Linked DNA regions of Xenopus tropicalis. The protein of the gene in region 1 interacts with the protein of each later gene in a biochemical or structural test. Links are inferred from orthologs where the notes say so. Each region holds a gene or a part of one and is shown on either strand. Other genes may lie near its edges. The genes, in order: trim72 and ube2h.

Region 1 (3,775 bases):
ATACTGTGCACTTTATCTCCTTACCTGGCATCAGGGCTCTAAACATCTTCCTCCATACTTGGAATTTAAACTCATCAGAGATGATGGGAAGCTGGATGTCCAGGCGACCAGGAGGAGGGGACTCGGCTAAAATCTTGTTCAGCCTATCAATGACAGAAGGTAGGATTTGTACAGCGCTGTGGAATATGTTGGCGCTTTATAAATAAATGTTAATAATTAATAATAGGAAAGTAGCAGTGGGAAGAGATGGTTTGTGGGCCTTCAGAGGGAATGTGACCAATGACTGCTCTTGTATCAGGCTCCACCCCTTCTACTTGGCCCTGTACCCATTCCTGGTGATTGCCTATGGATTATAGCAGTAGGCTGAGAATGGGAAGTAATAAGGATTAGATTAATTTGTTTATTTTGCTTGACTGAAGGGGAAAGTAATGTCGATTGGGCAGAGGAAGGAAGGATTGGGTTAGTAACATCCCCGACATGCAATATATGGTTATTATGAATTACCCCAGGGATAGTCACTAAGATTTTAGCCTCAGGGGAAGGGAAAAGGACTAACGCATACTATAAGGGACATGGGAAATTACCTTGCTGCCACCACACAGTATTTCTGAAACAAAAAGAAATCCGTTAAAGTCAATTTTTAACTTCTTCCTGCTTATCAGTATATATTTAAATGACAATATGCAAGAATTACACATTTACTAAGTGTGACTGCTATTGGAAGCAGCTGCCTGTCCCTTGCAATTCTCTGCACTGCTGCTCCTGACTATCTGCACTACTCAATATTGCAGCAGTCACGACCCCTTCCGTCACTACTCCAGTTCCTACAATACTGTGAATAACACACCCACTAAAGGAAAGTTGCAAGGCATTGTGGGTAATACAGTCATGGCTTGAGCATTGTTTCAATGGTACAGGTAGTTTTATTACTATGCTAGATGTTATTTTTGGGTTTACACCCCCATGTAGGCTAACTGGGCTTCCATTTGGCCTCACTGCATTACTGAGTGGCTCACCCTGAGAAATTCAGTTTGCTCCTGGCTTTCCACATCCTTCAGAACTCCATCCATCTGCCGGAGCTGATCCAGGTAATGCCCCATAGTCTTCCTTTCTACAAGCAGAGCCTCTGTGGCCGTACGTTCGGCATTGTCGGCTTCCTTGCTCAGCGAGGCTTCCATTATGCTCAGGTAGGAACGCATGGCATTGAGCTGATGCTTCACATTGCCCTTAAAGCGAGACACTGTGTCCTGTGGGGAGGGAAGGGAGTAGTGGAGATGATTCTCGGTATCCAAGGGAATACAACTGTCCCATATCCTCATAATAAACCCTGACTGAATCAATAGATGGAGCAAACTCTACGTAGAAATGGGATTGCATTAAGTACAATATCCTGGTGAAAGGTTGGGGGTTATGGGAGCTTGCAGATTAGGGTTAGCCCTATGGGGAAGAGATGTTGGGAGAAAGTAGGGTACAATAGAGTAGTAAAGAGGGTAACTCTCTGGGACAGTCTCAGTGGGATCCACGCTGGTCATTGGTAGAGGAGTAGATTAGTTAAACATGTGGAACTGAAGGTCATTGGTAGAGGAGTAGATTAGTTAAACATGTGGAACTAGAGGTCATTGGTAGAGGAGTAGATTAGTTAAACATGTGGAACTGAAGGTCATTGGTAGAGGAGTAGATTAGTTAAACATGTGGAACTGGAGGTCATTGGTAGAGGAGTAGATTAGTTAAACATGTGGAACTGAAGTTGGAATATGGGTTGGGTCCTTAACTGGAGTAGGGTAACTTGTTGATGTAAGAAAAGGCCAATAAGGTCTATAGCTGGGACTAGTAGGGATCTGAGAATAAGTGGAAGGGTTGCTGGTAGTATAAGTAGGAAAAGGGGCCACTGGGTTTGTAAAGCATGGAGGCCACTTACCTGTACTTCAGCCACCTGTCTGTCTAACACAGCCACCGTCTTCTCTTTCTTTAGTCGCGCCTCCTGCAGGATAACTTGTTGCTGGGGCAGCTGCCTCTGTGTGAGGAACGAGATGGAACAAAGTTAGATTTCATATACGTCAATATAGTAATATATAATAAACACAGCATAGTGTAAGGCTGGCACCAATTACTCTACATGGAGCTGAATGGCATGAAATGAGAAGGGAAATGTGTGTTTGGCTATTAATATAACACAGATATTAGGGTCACCTAATCCCAATCCTACTATTGTATGGCTCATATAGCAAAGCTGAAAAAGTGTGTTTCTAAGCACATTCCGCTTTACCTTCAGCTTGGCGTAGGCCTCAGCGGCTGTGATGATATTGTGCCCCTTGTGCTTGCTGAGCGAGGCGCACACCCCACAGATAAGCTCCTTGTCTTGCTCACAGTAGACACTCAGGGGGTCCAGGTGCTCCAGACAGTGGCCTTTTGGGACCTGCTTGAAGCTTTGGACAAGGTGTTCCAGCTGACGGTTGATCTGAAGGGTCTCGGGGCGGGAGGGGGTCTGGCAAGTTGGGCAAGGCGTTGATCCATTTTGGTCTTGGTTCTTGGGGGCCCCAGTCAAGCAGCCTTGGCAGAAGGTGTGCCCACACTCAGGTGTGACAGGGGCTCGGAACAACTCCAGACACAGCGGACACGTGAGGTCCTTCTGCATTCCTTGCATCAGCTGCGGAGTCGACATGCTGAGGGGCACAAATGGACAAAACCATTGCTGAAAGACTTATAAATCCAGAAACTTCACATCCCTATGGTTTAGTCCCCTAATTCCCTCAAGCACCGGGGAAAGAGTCACACTCAGTAGCCAATCTGGTTTCTGCAGATCTGCAAAGTAACAAGCAATCAGCAAGGGTCGCTTTCAGATCTTCACTGATACTGGACACGTGAGCTTGGATCAAGAAGCATGACTTTCTTCTGGGATAATCAGGAGGGTTGGACATTGCTTTCCCAACCCCTAACTGGGGGGCTATAGGGCATTGCTTTTCTCCATACAGACTTGCTGAGTATCACCCCCAAAGTATTATGTCTACAGCAGGGATCCCCGACCAGTGACTCGGGGGGCAACATGTTGCTCCCCAACCCCTTGGGTGTTGCTCTCAGTGCCGCCAAACCAGGGAGTTATTTTTGAATTCCTGACTTGGGGGCAAGTTTTGGTTGAATAAAAACAAGATTTCCTACCAAATAAAGCCCCTGTAAGCTGATAGGGTGCATAGAGGCTGCCTAATAGCCAATCACAGCCCTTATTTGGCACCTCCATGAACTTTTATGGTGCTTGTGTTGCTCCCCAAGTCTTTTTACATTTGACTGTGGCTTCTGAGTAAGAAAGGTTGGGGACCCCTGGCCTAGAGCATGGCTTTACTATATATATATAAAGGGCCACAGAGCAGTTATTTCTATCTAAAGGGTTAGAGAATGATCTCTGTTCTCTGTCCCATTATCAGAGCGTTGCTCAGACTGACTATAAGGGAGTGGTTTCGCTTTAAATAGAAGCCCAGAGAATGTCATGAGCTGCCAGGGAGGCTAAAGTTACCGGACAGAGAGAAGGGGGAGAGAGAGAAGGAACATTAGGGAAATCTATAGATACAGAATAGGCTTGGGGGCTGATAACGAACCCATAACAATTGCCCCTTCTGGTGTACTCTGCCCCCCGTGTAGGCAGAATTGTGCCACTTACTGTCTGGGCCATGGGAGAGTCCCAAGGTCAGAGGGGGATGTGGGATTCCCAAGGGGCTGTGGGGGCTGAGGTGGGGCTATAGAGCAGCTGCACTGGCTTGGGCTCAGCTGCTGCCTGACATTG
Region 2 (4,265 bases), on another chromosome or scaffold:
AAGTACAATAGGCCTTCTGCTATACGGCTAGGAACAGCTATGATTTATTTTGGCAGAATGCCTTAGCCTCACAAAAAAAAAACCAAAACACAGTGTTATGACTGATATGCTGTTTTGGAATTGTATACAATAGGTTACATTCCCCACCCCCCATTTTTATTATTAGTTCTCAAACATGTATAATTGAGCTGGTTAACTCTAAGACAGCCCAATAAAGGATGAAAGCAAAAGGTCAGGGTGAACGTAAGGTAAATGCAAGATTGTTTTGTACTAGGAAAAATATATTTTTAACCACACATAAAGACAAACTGAGAGCAATAAAAAAGCGTACACCTATATAAATGGCCTGTTACACAGATTGCCAGTATAGTTTCAGTGGTACACTTAAATGCAGTGCCACTTGTGGCCCTCTAGATTTTGTGGGCCTCTGGGTTTACAGAACAGGCATTGGGCTTTCTGACATTCCTACCAAACTTTAGTTACAGTAATAACAAAGAAGCAGAGTGGATGCGGGGTGCCCATTAACCTGCCCTCTGCTCCCACCCACCCCTCAAACAACACTCCCTTTCACTACTCATGTCTGAGCGTTAATGTCATAACCACACAACAAAATCCCCTAGTGTCCCACCCTACACAAGGAAATTACATGGGCTAGGAGGGAACTTATGGGACAAAAACAAACGCAAAAAACAGGGAGGAGAAGAAAAACAGAAGAGCTCAGCTGTGCTATGAAGGCTTTCCCCTAACAACCCCCTTAATACCACTGGAACCCAACAGTCCGATCAGTTGCTAGGACATTTATACATTTTACTTGTTAACCTATATATTGTTATGGGACCTAAAACACACAACATAACATTGTCAGCATGAGGGTTACTTTAACTGTATCTAAATAATTGTTAAATACTTATAGGCTGAAAGAAATGTATTCCTGTAAAAAAAAAAAATCTGTCTCCAGGGTTTTAGCCAGTTAACCCCTTGTATGCTAAAGGCCTGCAATGCAGACCTGACATCTCCAATCAGGAGATCAGGATTGTAGGTGTTCCTTTAATGCAGCTATACAAAACCTGTCAGATTAAAACAGACACAACAGATGATGTTCCCAACTTTATAAAATACATACATTACCCTGCCTTTAAGTCACCTGCGCTCAGACCAAAGTATTTAATGTCCTGCAACAAATAAATGCTGGTAAAAACCATGGCATTCACTTCAATTAGGGCCATTGTAGCAAATGTTAAAAAGCTGCTGGCTGCCTGTGCCTACCATTCTCTATTTATGGAAGCATAAGGCAGCATGAAACCTTTAAGACTGCAGTCTTTTGTCTGTTCTCTTACAATAAAAACGACAAGTAGAAAAAGATTGCAAAGATCCCTTTGTTTTGACTAGGCACATAAACAGGACTGGGGTACACAAATGCTTGCGTAAGCTCTTACTTAGTACAGAGATGTTCCATGAACAATGCCCCCATGAAAATTATTTGCAGTCTAATGAAAAACCCACTTGTTTGTTAAAGCTCAATAGGTGCAAAGAAACAGAATGATTATTGAGTACAGGCTTGCCCAAAATGCATCCCACAGCCTGTGTTATTCTACTACATATTCCAGTATCACCATAAAATCCCCAAACAGCCTAAGGCTGTCAGTGGGTGCTAGGAGTTAGGATTTAACTAAACAGGTTAAGCATTCCTGTTGTAAATAACCTTGACCAGTGACAGGGGGGAATTGGTAATTTGTTGTTACACAAATAAAACAAAACGAAAAATAACATCATCTTTTCCCTGTCTAACTAGACACAAACAACAAAATCCTCCTTGTCTGCACCCCCTCCTCCCTGTGTGAGGCCTTAACTGTACTGACACTGAAAATACACACACGTATCTATATACCTAAATTCCTACAGGCCTATTAGAGTTGTACAAAACAAACTACACAATGATACTTTAGTTATATGTGAACTACTGAGTTACAAATACAATACACCTTTTCTTAATTCATTTATCATTATTTTATTATATAAAAAAAAAAAACACAGCTGACCAGTGGCCCTTCAGCTGAAACTCATATAGCCCAACAGGCTTCAACTGCCACCAGCTCAAGAACAGCTGGAGGGCCTGTGGGTTAGGAAAGACATGCCTGCCAACAGATCAATAACAAAGGATTTAATCAAAATAGATCATTCTCATCAAAGACAGTATATCTTAGTAGCAACTGTGCCTATATGTGGCATTCTTTGTTTCAGAGAAATATAGGGATGCTTTTCCTTATGTAAGTCACTTTATTTTATGTTTCTGTTAATAGCTGATGTACAAAGATCTCTTTATACAAGGATATGCCCCTTTACTACCTTCTAGGCAAGGAACACGGATAAGCACAGTAATGGCACTACACAATTAAGATACTTACATGTATCTAGAAGGGGCAGAATAGTGTGAACATTGTTTTGCCCCATTTCAATGCTCCATATCCATCCAAAACATGGGCCCCAGAGTTACATACTGAGTGTACCTGACAAATGACTGTCAAGCACCCACTTATAGTATATGTAACCTATACCCCAATAATTTGTCGTCAGGAAGGATACAGTTTAACTACATCGGTGTCCATCCGCCTCTTTCCCGGGCTGGGAGATGACATGTCTGCAGCTCCCCCCCGGGGGACTCTTCGGCAGCAAAGCACTCAGGACTGTAAGCAATTGACTGGGAGAACTGACGGCGGATTCGCCTCCCTCCTCCGGGCCTTGTTTGTCCGGTTGCCCTTAATAAATACGGCGGGGGCCTAACCTAGATTAGCCTTAGGTTGCCCCCCAAACCCAGCTTCCAGACACTGTCGCCGCCTTCTTATACCGGAGAGTGCCTTAGCATAAAAAGTAGTATAACCGACTAAACGTCTCAGTCACGTGACCTCACAGATAGTGACGCGCCGGCCGCGGAGGAAGACTTAAAAAACAGAAAAGAGAGGTGGAGCCACACCGCAGAAGGCGGAGCAATCGACATGCGGTCTAAGCCTCGCTGTGGGTTGTTGAAACCACCCGACCGCTATATAAGGGCCGGTAATCAGATTGTCAATCTTTTATTTAGCCGCGCCCACTGGCGAATATATACGGTTTAGTGCATAGACTTCTGGGAGTTGTAGTCTTTATGTCTCCCTAATATGATATTAGACATACGTGAGATAGGGAGACTAAGTATAGGTTGCGAGTGAAAGGGATACTGGATTTTTTTTTTCTTTTTTGGGAGGGGGCGAGGGAGGATGTCCAAAAATGTACACAGTACAAGTGAAGTTTGACGTGTCACAGCAATAGTAATGTCTGAGCTTTAGCTGTTGCCAACCTGCTCGGTGCTTTTATGCTGACATCCTGCAACGTAGATGAAGGGCTGTGATTGACAAATAACATGTGTAACGCTGCATATGGTGTAACGTTCTAGAAACATGAATTGCTGGGAGTATCGGTTTTCTTTGTTAGTAGTATTGGGGGCTGGTAATAACTGTGTCTGCTTGTAATGCTTTGTATGCGCTGGAGCTATCTATCTATGTATATATATATATATATATATACACACACACACACACACACACACACACACACATATATTTATATATATCTCCAGTGCGCACACAGCATTACAAGTAGACATGGTTCCATGGTGAGCATTTATTTGCAAAAATGTAAAATATTTTAATATAACATTATTTATTCATTTTGACAGTTTTACAAATGTGCACTCATATTAACTCACAAGGATCTTTCTCCCTGTTTTGCACCCCTCAGTGGTAGTAAAACAGCCCAGTATTCCCCTCCCTGTACTTTGTGGCTGATTTAATGTTAAGCCCCACCCCTGAAAACACACCTGAATATCAGGCACCCAAAATATAAACCTAATGGGTTTGCATCACCGAACATGTATTAAAACGATTAAGTCTTTATATTCTTAATGGATGTTGGTTTATAATTATGTAGGGACCCATAGGGTTAAGCTCCCCTATGGCTTTAATTCCCTACCTCTTCCTGATTTGCACTGTTACTGGGCAAACCCTTTGTATCAGTTTACAGTTATACCTTATACTTTATTGATCTATGTGGCTGTTCACACCCCTTGCAGTCTGATATAGTGTCTAGCAAGGAGGTGTGGCTTCCTCTTTGGCTGCCTTCTGATTCTCCAGGAACAGCTCCACTTAGCCTGGGATCAGAAATAGGCCCCAGTGAAGCAAAGCCATTTGCCCCAGGGTCAACATGCACTCTGGTGAAGTTGGGCATAGGGCCCT

What was found.
Region 2: the proteins of trim72 (region 1) and ube2h form a complex in vitro, tested with the Homo sapiens proteins (2 studies listed by BioGRID). The link is inferred for Xenopus tropicalis from reciprocal best matches to the Homo sapiens genes TRIM72 and UBE2H.

Annotation. Positions count from the first base shown.
Region 1 is NC_030685.2:5,465,818-5,469,592, forward strand, and holds part of trim72 (tripartite motif-containing protein 72), read right to left. Parts: intron 2,664-3,775; 5' UTR 2,663-2,663; coding exon 2,267-2,662; intron 2,015-2,266; coding exon 1,919-2,014; intron 1,248-1,918; coding exon 1,017-1,247; intron 608-1,016; coding exon 585-607; intron 144-584; coding exon 25-143; intron 1-24. UniProt on the Homo sapiens protein: Muscle-specific E3 ubiquitin-protein ligase that plays a central role in cell membrane repair by nucleating the assembly of the repair machinery at injury sites.
Region 2 is NC_030679.2:86,975,920-86,980,184, reverse strand, and holds the start of ube2h (ubiquitin-conjugating enzyme E2 H), read right to left. Parts: upstream 2,883-4,265; 5' UTR 2,637-2,882; coding exon 2,584-2,636; intron 1-2,583. UniProt on the Homo sapiens protein: Accepts ubiquitin from the E1 complex and catalyzes its covalent attachment to other proteins. E2 ubiquitin conjugating enzyme that transfers ubiquitin to MAEA, a core component of the CTLH E3 ubiquitin-protein ligase complex.